3 linked regions of the Macaca mulatta genome follow. The protein of the gene in region 3 interacts with the protein of the main gene of each other region in a pairwise test. Links are inferred from orthologs where the notes say so. Each region holds a gene or a part of one and is shown on either strand. Other genes may lie near its edges.

What was found.
Region 1: the proteins of MAX (region 3) and MGA interact in binary tests that used the Homo sapiens proteins (3 or more experiments, as listed by UniProt). The link is inferred for Macaca mulatta from reciprocal best matches to the Homo sapiens genes MAX and MGA.
Region 2: the proteins of MAX (region 3) and UNC45A interact in binary tests that used the Homo sapiens proteins (3 or more experiments, as listed by UniProt). The two-hybrid records come from large-scale screens. The link is inferred for Macaca mulatta from reciprocal best matches to the Homo sapiens genes MAX and UNC45A.

The regions. Positions count from the first base shown.
Region 1 is NC_133412.1:18,989,226-18,992,972, reverse strand, and holds the start of MGA (MAX gene-associated protein), read right to left. Parts: upstream 2,661-3,747; 5' UTR 2,586-2,660; exon of another isoform or gene 2,295-2,585; intron 1-2,294. UniProt on the Homo sapiens protein: Functions as a dual-specificity transcription factor, regulating the expression of both MAX-network and T-box family target genes. Functions as a repressor or an activator.
Region 2 is NC_133412.1:80,845,962-80,849,708, forward strand, and holds the start of UNC45A (protein unc-45 homolog A), read left to right. Parts: upstream 1-1,348; 5' UTR 1,349-1,388; coding exon 1,389-1,439; intron 1,440-1,595; coding exon 1,596-1,757; intron 1,758-1,975; coding exon of another isoform or gene 1,976-1,996; coding exon 1,997-2,033; intron 2,034-2,331; coding exon 2,332-2,507; intron 2,508-3,747.
Region 3 is NC_133412.1:138,199,645-138,203,391, forward strand, and holds the start of MAX (protein max), read right to left. Parts: upstream 2,833-3,747; 5' UTR 2,661-2,832; coding exon 2,625-2,660; coding exon of another isoform or gene 2,421-2,624; intron 1,890-2,420; coding exon of another isoform or gene 1,863-1,889; intron 1-1,862. UniProt on the Homo sapiens protein: Transcription regulator. Forms a sequence-specific DNA-binding protein complex with MYC or MAD which recognizes the core sequence 5'-CAC[GA]TG-3'. The MYC:MAX complex is a transcriptional activator, whereas the MAD:MAX complex is a repressor.

The sequences.
Region 1 (3,747 bases), about 120 Mb from region 3:
AGGCAGAGGTTGCAGTGAGCATCACTGCACTCCAGCCTGGGGACAAGCCCAAAACTCCCTCTCAAAAAAAAAAATATATATATATATATACACACACACACACACATACACACATATATATATAAAATTCACCTAGTTTTTTTTTTTTTTTTTTTGGAGACAGAGTTTCACTCTTGTTGCCCAGGCTGGAGTGCAATGGCGCAATCTCTGGTCACTGCAACCTCCACCTCCCGGGTTCAAGCATCCCAAGTAGCTATGATTACAGGCATGCGCCACCATGCCTGGCTAATTTTGTATTTTTAGTCGAGACGGGGTTTCTCCATGTTGGTCAGGCTGGTCTGGAACTCCCGACCTCAGGTGATCCGCCCGCCTCAGCCTTCCAAAGTGCTGGGATTACAAGCGTGAACCACCACGCCCGGCAATTTTATTTAAATTTTAAGGTAAAAATCCCATTCTTTCTCCAAACAGTTGATTGTTCCAACATAAATTTTGGAACCCCTTCCCTACTGATATGAAATACCACCTTTGTAACACTAAATAATCTTATATATTTCTAGATTATTCTGTTTCACCACTCTTGTGTTCCAGGGTTGCTACTTACATTTTGATTATCAAAGCTTTATTTGTATATTCTCTAGTACAAGTCCTTTTCCCATTCTTCTCTTCCAAAAAGTTTCTTACTTTCTAGGTTTACTTTTTCAAATGAATTTTAAAACCATTTTGTCAAGTTTTCAAAAGGAAATCTGGTTGGAATCATGTAAAACTGCCAGCCATATCTCTCTGTTGCTATTTTCCTCAGTGGTAAAATGGAAATAACAGTACTTACCTCGCAGGTTTGTTATGAGAACTAAATAAATTAAATACAGTACAAAGTATTTAAAACACCAAGCCAGAAAGATGTTAACTATAATTACTCAAAAGTGACAGCTATTATGATTGCTCAATAAATGTTTTCCAGATGTGTTCGCACAATCTTCAAAGGCTCTTTTTAAGATAAATCAAAAGGTATCATAAAACATAAGCAGTGGTGTGGAAAACAATTTATACTTTTCTTCACCAACGCCTTGACCCTTCTTTGGTGAAATAAAGAGCTGGAACTGGGAGCAGAGACCAAGAAAAATGCCACAGGCTACCAGGTCTCTAAAATTTTACAAAGCTAGCCCATCAAGTGGAAACGAAGACTTCTAGGCCCTTCTAGTCAGCGTTATGGGTGATCAGCATTTCCCTTTAAATACTACTATTTCCCCATCTCCACAGTTATGACAATAGTAGTTACCTTTTGATTTCCTCCCAGAAAATACATAGGGATTAGATGTCTAAAAGACAGTATTTTTCAAATGAGGTCGTGGGCCCCTATAAAGTATAAATGGGAATGATAAAGATGGAGAGACATGCCCAGAATATTATAACAAATTACCTCTACCAGGTTTCCCACATCACTGTAAAGATTGAGAGGGGAGAGGCTGTGGGTTTTTTTTTTTTGGGGGGGGGGCGGTTGTCTCATTATAATTGTTAAGAATTTGTTAAATTTTTTTTTTTCTGCATTGAAATTGAAGTGAGGAAGTCAGAGGCCGTATGAGGGGCCTTAAGAGGTGATCTCCTCTACTGAGCTGAATGAGAAATGGAAGACGAGAGTGGAAAGATGAAACCAGCCAAAGGCCTGGACCCCAGGCCTCCGAATTCCCAGATCTCGGCTCATCCCAGTACACCACACAGCTTCTCACCGACGCTTGCCACGCTTCGAGGTGGGAGGAGTAAAAACAGGCAATCCGACCGCAGCAAAGACGCTGGAAAACCACAGGCCGGCGCAGTCGAAGGCACGTGACCCGCCACGCCCCCCCCACCCTCCCCCTGCCCCGCGCCAGCAGCACGCGCTGCCAACCTCGTCATGTGACCTTCACGCGGCCCCAGCGCTCCCCCTGCTTGGCGACTCTTTCCAGCAGCCATTTTGCTGAGAACTTGTCGTCTGTGCTTGCCGCGGAGCAGGACGCCGCGAAAAGCCGCGGCCAGAATTTACGGGCCGCACACGCGCTTCGAAAGAGCGCTCAGGCCGTCAGGGCCCGGTCGAACCTCAATGAACACGTCGCACCCCGGGGCGCCGGGGAAAGCTGTGGGTGCGCCTCGGCCTGAGATTGGCTGTGGCGTCCACGTGACGCCTCAGCCCCCTCCCCGCCACCTTCTCCTTCCCCCCAACTCACAAAAACACCCAGACTGTTAACACCTCGCGCCAAGAACACGCCACCAGGCGCGTGGGGACGGGCGTAGCGCGTGGCAAGCAAAGCGCCTGCGCGTACCTGCCAGGGCCGACAGCAACCGACCCACGCGCCGTTCCGCTCGCGGGTCCCGGAATCCTCGCGCTGCTGGACCACCCGGCTAGTCATTGGCTGCCAGTTCGGGTCACGTGCTGGTCGCCGGCCCGCCCCTACCCGCTAATCACCTGGCACCGAGCTCGAAGCGGCGCCGAGTCGTTCGCACGCGGAGAGGGAGGGTAGTTAGAGGGCCATCCTTTTCTGCCATTATGGAATTAAACTCATAAAGAGGAAACGAGAAACCAGAGGTTCAAAGCTAAGGAAGCTCGCACCTACCGGCTTAACTTCGCGCGCCTCTCCAGGAGCCGGGAACCATCGCCCTTGGGCGCTCCCCGATGCACGCCGGGATACGCCTGGCGCCCCTCGGTGTGCTGCAGAGCATGCCGGGAAAGGCACCTCTCCCGATCTCCTGGCGCTCACCTCCCGGGCGTTCCTTTCGTGTCCCCTTTGAAAGCCCGATCCTTGGGCTTGGAATGAGACGGTTTGGGTAATTATGGGAGTGTGGCGAGGTATACCAGGCACTTTGAGCCCCTCCTCCCCGACTTGTTTGATCTGTGTGGTCTTGGGGAAACCGTTTAACCTTTCTCCACGGAGCAAGCGTTAAGTGTGTGCCTGCTGAGTGACTTTGTAAAGATTCAAAAAAAAAAAAAAAAACAGCAAGGGTATTTGCCTACAAATGAACTGCCAGCCTTTCCTGGCCAATGAAAAAGAATGCTAATTTAAATGCAACTTACCAGGAGCCCCACATGAGAGTGGAAATGGCACTTGGAATTTCCCTTGGGATAGAAGATGAGCCCTTTCTTGCTAAACTCACTGCTACTGTTGGGGAAAGCAGGGTGATAAGAGCATGCGGCGTTTTAAAGGAGGCAGGGACATGCCTGTATCACAGTTACTGGTTCCACCTCATACGAGATACGGTATATTGGAAACGAGAAAAAAAAAAACACCGTCTCCTAACTCAGAAAAAGTGGTCAGGCATCAGAACCAATTAACTTTGTAACATATTCACAAACTGCCCTTCAGGCCAAAACCTAATATTTTACTCCCATGAAACCCCCACTTAAAACAATTCACACCTTTTCTGCTTTGAACTCCATTCTTCAGCTTTGCCGATTTCAGAACGATTTCATCAATTCTTAAAGAGATGATTAAGCTTGAAGAATTTGACTAGCGATGGTCAAGCTCAAGAGTTCTTATTTATAGATTAAAAATTAAATGTATCCATTTATAATGTGGTTATTAAGCCAAAATATAGTTTGTGGCACCCTTTTCTAATTTCAAGGTACTTCATAAGCCTAATTATCAGAAAATTATTCCCTGACTAGAAAATCAAAAGAAAGGGTATTAGATGATCATGTGTAATAAAGAGCATTAAATTGTAAGCATATGATGTTATATTTGAAGTTTATAAAACATTCTAATATTCATTATGTATAAT
Region 2 (3,747 bases), about 57 Mb from region 3:
GGCCTTGGGGCTTTGATTTTTATTTCCTTATTTATGCAGTCATGGCCTAGAAAGAGAGATGTTAGAGTTCCCAGGACCAGGACAGAGGTGGTGGTGAAATCTCATGGGCGTCTGGAGAAGAAGGTCAGGCCCCTTGCTGACAGGCCTATCCGTGGGGCTACTGCTGCTCTTCAGCTGGGTGACCCTTGTCCAGTCAACCTCTCTCTCAGGTACAGCACTTACCCCTGTGGCCCACCTGCCTATCGTGCTATGGGCTATTCCTGGGAACTGGAACTGATGGGGATGAATGGAAGGGCGCCTGCTCTTCCGGTAGGGGCTGATCTCTTTTACTCTCCAGTAGGGGTGGAGTGGGCTGTGGAAAGATCCCTCCTGCTTATTTCTAGCCCCCCAACCTCTCTCTTCAGCTGTGGTCCACCACCCTCACTTGTGCCAGACCACCCGGGATGTCAATGGCCACCACTACCCTGGTTTCTTTTGCCCTCGTCTCTCTGATTCTCCAGAGGAAGCCTACTGCTGCCACCTGCAGGCTGCAGGGGGCTCCTGCTGCACCCGGGCTGAATTTGAGGCCCTGTACCAAGTCAACCTGTCCGCTCTTCCGCCCCCGCCCATCCTCAGGTGAGATCTCCAACCCCGGAGCCACTGGAACATCGTCAGGGTGTTCCAATATCTGGGGCTCTGTTCCTAAATTATGGGGTGGGAGGCTTGTAACTTACAGACTAGTGAAGGGACAGACCGCAACAGAAAATCATGTAGATCATGATTACAATTACAAGGGAGAAGTTCAGGGGGCTGTGCAAGCGGGTAATAGGGAGCCATACTGAATCTGCCCATGGGTGGCTCTAGGATGAGCTCCTAAATTCGTATGCAAATGTGTGTATGTAAGACTACACTTATTTGGGGATGGAGTCCCGAGCTTTCTCCGGACTCCCAGGGGTTCTGTACTCCCACAGAGCGCAGCAGCCAGAGCGCGGCCAGGGCCGGGATCCAGATACTTTTTTCTCTCCCGCAGGGGCCCAGGACAACTCCTAGTGCTGGGCCTCTACAGCCTACTGGTTGTGACCCTGATGACCGCAGACCTTGTGCACTTCTGCTGCGATCGGGGCCGGGGTCGGGGCTGGAGCCACCGCAGGCCTCCCTCCGGGTCCTCCGCCGTGAACTCCTGCAGGTCTCCGCGGGGACAGCTTAGGCGCGACCGGAGCTTGCCTGCACCTGCGATCCAGAGTCGAGTGCCCCGCCCCTGCCCGGGCGCGCTAACTCTTTAGCCCTGCCCCTCTCTGACTCCACCTCCGACGCAAGAGTGGGGCGGGGCAGCTCCCGGCAGCGTCCGGAGCCAGACTCGTCCCGCACCAGAGACTGCGCCTGCGCGGGCACGGGACAACCTCTCCGCGATGACTGTGAGTGGTCCAGGGATCCCCGAGCCCCGGCCGGCCACCTCCGGGGTGCGTACCCAGTCCCCGCGCCATCACCCCTTCGCACCCGCCCTGACCATCCCAGGCCTCCTTCTCCCCATCCATGAGGCTCGTGCCTATCCCTCCTCTTCTCCAGGGCTCTGCCCCGAACCCCCTCCGACGTTTCCGCCCCCTTTCTCTCTACAGGCCAGCTCAGTGGAGCAGCTGCGGAAAGAGGGCAACGAGCTGTTCAAATGTGGAGACTACGAGGGCGCCCTGGGGGCCTACACTCAGGCCCTGGGTCTGGACGCGACGCCCCAGGACCAGGCCATTCTGCACCGGAACCGGGCCGCCTGCCACCTCAAGCTGGTGAGGGAGCCTGGCGCTCTTCCCCTTGCCTGCCGGGCCCCGGTTCGCCCATCTCAGCTGATGCTTGGGCCCCAGCTGGGAATTCAAGCTCCCAGGCCATCCCCGCTTGCCAGATGTCTTTTGCACCTCAGCGTGAAGGGGGATCGGGTGACCTTGGACAGCGAGAGTACCCCTGCTGCCTGGTTAGTGCCCCGAAAGGGAGATGACCATTCTTTCAGGCTCCTGTCTTTCTCTTACAGGAAGATTACGACAAAGCAGAAACAGAGGCATCCAAAGGTAGGGGAATGGTGGACCCTCGTGTGGAGCTGTAGGGCTTCTGTGGTGGGCAAGGACTCTGGGACCGCTGCACCATCACATTCTCCTCCTTTGGCCCCGGAGACACATCTGCCTTCTTTCTTTCCCACTGCCTCGGGCCTTTCCTTTTCTGCAGCTACCCTCACCTTTTCTGAGGCTGAAGCACCGAGCCCCACATTCGTCCCCCTACCTTCTGGCCTTTCCTCGAGATCTTTCCCTACTGCTCTTGCCTGGAGATGGTGGCCTCATGGGTGCTGACAGCGCTCCTGTTTGTGCTCAGCCATTGAAAAGGATGGTGGGGATGTCAAAGCACTCTACCGGCGGAGCCAAGCCCTAGAGAAGCTGGGCCGCCTCGACCAGGCTGTCCTTGACCTGCAGAGATGTGTGAGCTTGGAGCCCAAGAACAAAGTTTTCCAGGAGGCCTTGCGGAACATCGGGGGCCAGATTCAGGAGAAGGTATGTGAGTGACCCAGAGAGGTGGTGAAGGGATCTGGGCCAGGGGTGCAGACACAGTTCTCCAGACAAGAGATACTGATGGCAAGTGAACATATAGAATTCTGGTTAACCTTGCCTGTGGCCAGGGAAAAGCAAATTAAGATGACAGCGTGTTACTGTTGATTTGGAGGTCTGTTTGGCAGACATTTAAAAGTTTGTATACTTTTCAAGAAGGAGTGAGGCAGACACATCAGTGGTGAGGCTGGTACAGCTCTTTTGGAGAGTACTTTAGCATATCAAATTTGAAATGAGCGTATCTTTTGATCCCATATGTTTACTTCTTGCTGTTTCTCTCACAGAAACCTTGCCCACATGCACAAGTAGACATGTGTATGTTTATTTCAGCCTTTTTTGTAGTAAAAGCTTGGAACTTGCCTCAATGCCCAGCCATAGAGGAATGGCTGAATAAATTGGGTAATGTCCTTACTAGAGACTCTTACATAGTTACTGAGAATGGGTAGATACACACATATTGAAATGGAAAGCTCTGGGACACTTGTTGAATAAACAAAGCAAAATAGGCAGGGCATGCTGTCTCATGCCTGTAATCCCAGTGCTTTGGGAGGCCAAGACGGGACGATCACTTGAGGCTAGGAGTTTGACACCAGCCTGGGCAGCATAGTGAGACCCTGTTGCTACCAAAACTTAAAAAGTTAGCTGGGTGTGTTGGCACACCCTTGTAGTCCCAGCTACTTGTGAGGCTGAGGCAGGAGAATCCTTTGAGCCCTGGATTTTGCAGTTACAGTGAGCTATGATTGTGTCACTGCACTCCAGCCTGGATGACAGAGTGAGGCCCTGTCTCTTTTGAAAAAGAAAAGAAGAAAAATATATGATAACACATATAGTATTATATCATTTATGTTAATGATCCCCTGCATAGCAAAATAATGCTATATTTTTTCTGTGGGTACACTTGGGTATATAAATACAAAGGAAAATATTTAATTTAATTTATTTATGTATTTATTTATTTATTTTTTGAAACAGAGTCTTGCTGTGTTGCCCAGGCTGGAGTGCAGTGGCGTGATCTCAGCTCACTGCAACCTCTGCCTCCCAGGTTCAAGCAATTCTCCTGCCTCAGCCCCCCAAGTAGCTGGGACTGGGACTACAGGGGCGTGCCACCACGCCCAGCTAAGTTTTTGTACTTTTAATAGAGACAAGGTTTCACTGTGTTGGCCAGGATGGTCTGGAGCCCCTGACC
Region 3 (3,747 bases):
TTTACAACTGGAGACTTGCAGGAAAAAAAAAGTTTTCAACAGACTAGGCCCCAAACATGAAGGATAAAAGTAAACGAAAAAAACAAATTCAATTTTCAAATATATGCATAAGTATATGAGAATACTTCAAGGATAAATAAAACAAAATAAATTATCTTTAATGACTATTACCCAGGGATAATTTGTAAGATTTCTGGAACAACTACATCCCCGGATTTTAAGAAAATACGAGCTCTCAATAAATAAGTTTTCTTAATGCCTATTTGCTTAGACAACCTGCATAATCTTTGCTTGCTCTAATGAAGAGCAGGTACAACTGAGATGGCTTGCCTTTATCCTGTGGTTATTAGGTTCTTATACCAGAGGTATCAAAGTGACATCCTGCAAATTCTAACAAGCCCAAACAGTTGTTCCACACATCATTTTAAAAATCAGAAAAATAACATAACGCTTTGGATTTCTAATCTTTCTTAAAAAATAGGAAGATCAGCTGGGCGCGCGGTGGCTCACGCCTGTAATTCCAGCACTTTGGGAGGCCGAGGTGGGCGGATCACGAGGTCAAGAGATCAAGACCAGCCTGGCCAACAAGGTGAAACCCCGTCTCTACTAAAAATACAAAAATTAGCTGGATGTGGGGGTGTGCGCCTGTAGTCCCAGCTACTCAGGAGGCTGAGGCAGAAGAATCGCTTGAACCCAGGAGGCGGAGGTTGCAGTGAGCCGAGACAGCACCATTGCACTCCAGCCTGGTGACAGAGCGAGACTCTATCTCAAAAATAAATAAATAAAATAAAATAAAATAAAAAATAGGAAGATCTGGCAATACTGACCCTTCACTCCTACATAACAAACCACTGGAATTCAGTAGTGGCTGACTTTTTAGGAGAGGCATTGCTCTCCAGTACCCAAGTCCTCACCTCTTCTTTCTTTATTATTTATGGCCCTCATGGGCATTCAAATTTTTTACCCCCATTCTATACACTTCCTACTGTTCCCAATTTCAAATATTAGAACTCTGATATACTTATTTCTCTTCCCCTCTGATTCTGATTTATTCTATATGTTTTCTTTTTTTCCCCTCTAATCTATTCATGAAAAACCCATATTACTGTCTCAGACTCCAAAGACATGAAATTAGTGCATATCTAAATCCACAGAACCATCTACTGGGAACATTAATATCAAAACCCTAAGAAATTATTGATAACATTATATGGTCTCATCCATCACCTTTCAGCAAAGCTCTTCCTGCAATGCCACTTTTCTTCAGCTATTTTTTAATTTTCTTTATACCTCTTCTTCAAATACAGAGAATCAGACCATAATAACTTTATGTGACACTTTGATGATGCAACGTTTGGCTCCTCTACATTTCCAATTTTTGTGTTAGAATACCACATTGTGCTAGATTCTACAGGTCTAGAGCAGTCACATGACTTGGTTAAAGGCGATTATTGCATGTGGCTTCAGCTTCACATAATTATACAGATATGGTTTAAAATCTACTTGTTCCTAAATAAATCTTCTGACCACTTTGCCCTGAAATAATACTACCACTGACTTCAGAATGCTGCATTTCTCATTTCCACTTACATAGCGGCAGCTGGATCCCCTATTTGAAAACTACAGAACAATTCAATTCTTTGCATACAGCTCCTCTTACTGAACTTATCACCTGAGAATCTAGAATGATAGGATTTGCAACTCCCCCACCCTCCAGAACCAGGCCCCACCTCACCTTAGTGGTTAACATTAGTGATTTACTACAATATTAAAAGTAACAGTACGATCTCTTTTTCTCTCTGACCCCAAAAAGGAATAGAACTGAACGGAAATAAAAATGAAATGGAGAGTAGGAGACGTACCGCAGATTGAAACCTCGGTTGCTCTTCCTGGAATAGGAGAGAAAAAAAAATAGAAAATATAGAAGTTATTTTTACACTTAACATTCAATAATAAGAAAGAAAATGCCGGCGGCAGAGGAAGCGGAGGGTGGGGAGTCAGCCCGACACCCCTTCCTCCCTCCCCACCCCTTGCCCCCACCCTTCCACCCTCGGCGGGATCCGGTAGCGGGATAGAGGGGTCCCGAGCGCCGCCCCTCCTTCCGGGATCCGACCCGGGCCAGAGGGGTCTCGAGCACTGTCTCCTCCCTGCAGACCCAGCTCGGGCATCTAGGCACCCCCAACCCCTCTCCGCCCTTCCTCGCCCCCCAGGATCCGCGGGTCACGGGAGGAGAGGATCGCGTTCCGAAGGGGCAGGTCCTGAACGCCGTCCCCTTCCCCTGGATCCGGACAATGGGATCCCGGGCGCCCCCCATCCTTGTCCCCCGGATCCTGAGCCCGGGAAGGTGGGAGCGGGAGGCCGCAGCACCCTCCCCCACGGGAGAAGGTGGGAGTCCCAGAAGCCGCGTGTCTTCCCCCCACCTCCAGTCCCAGGAGGCCGCTCCGGCCAGGAGCCGGAGGGGAGCGAGCCGGGAACGCGACGGAGGCAGTCCTGGCCCCGAGGGAAAGGGGAAGGGGAAGGAGGCGGCGGCGGCCCGGCCCCCTCCCGCCGTCGCCCCGCTGAGAGCCCCGGCCGCTGTCCCCGCCTGACAACCCGCACGGGAAGGAAGAAGCCCCAGGACTCACGTCGCTCTCCACCTCGATGTCATCGTTATCGCTCATTTCCTACAGCCCAGGGAGCGGCCACTGCAGCGGCGGCGGGGAGGGGAAGGGGTGAAGGGGAGGGGGAAGTCACCGACAACAACAAGCCGAGTCCCCCCACACACACACTCACTCACTCACTCACTCGCTCTCTCACTCACACACACACACAACACGGGCAAGAACCACCTCCTCACTGCAGCACCGGATCAACGGCGGCACGCACGCCCGGTCGGCCCCCGCCACGTGACCAAGCTCGCAGCGCTGGGGCAGCCGAGACTTGTAGTTTTTGTCCCTTTGACAGACGGCCCGGGTAACTCCAGAAAAACTACAAATCCCGGAAGAAACCGCATCCAGGCGTCGCCAGCCAGGCTGGTAGACGGAGCCCAGGGCGCCTGCGCGTCCCGGAAAGGGGGCGGGGAGAGCCGCGGCGCGGCGCCTCCTGGGAGTCGTAGTCCGCAGACCGCGAGTTGTCAGGAGATTTTCCTCCAGAGGCGGCAGAGGAGGCTGCTGGGAAGACAGGACACGTGGAGGGAGCTGGAGCTCCTGGAGCCGGGCACCGTCGGCGCGCTGAACGCCGGGCCCAGGGGACTGGGTGGAGTCTCTGGGGGAGTAGCCGGCTGTCTAAATAATGCTGCCTCTTTTTGGTGTGACTGGTTATACTTTGTCTTCTTGATGCGAAGTGGTTCTGTTTTGCGCCTAGGGGCGTAACCCGCCCTGGAGGGAATCCGGCTGCGGCGGAACAGGGGGTGCGGCTCGGGATGCCGGCGCGAACCCTCGGGAGCTGGTGGGGAGGTATCAGTGGCAGGTGTTTCGTGGTGTTACCGGACAGGCAGGATGACCGACCTCGCCGGGCGACCGCTCCCAGCCGCGAGAATCCTGTATTCATTTATCCGGGAGTGACCATCCTCGCTACTCAGCTACTCGCGTGAGGTTCCAGCATTCACAGAACGCGAACCCTCAACCACTGTGGGCGTGAAAGTAAAAGCCCTTTAGAGTTTGTTGTAGCCCAGGCAGTCTAGGCAGTATCCCAGCTCAGAGTACCATAATTAAGATCGCAAAAAGGATCAATATGGGAAACTTGTGCAGTTCCCTGTCCAGTTAAAAT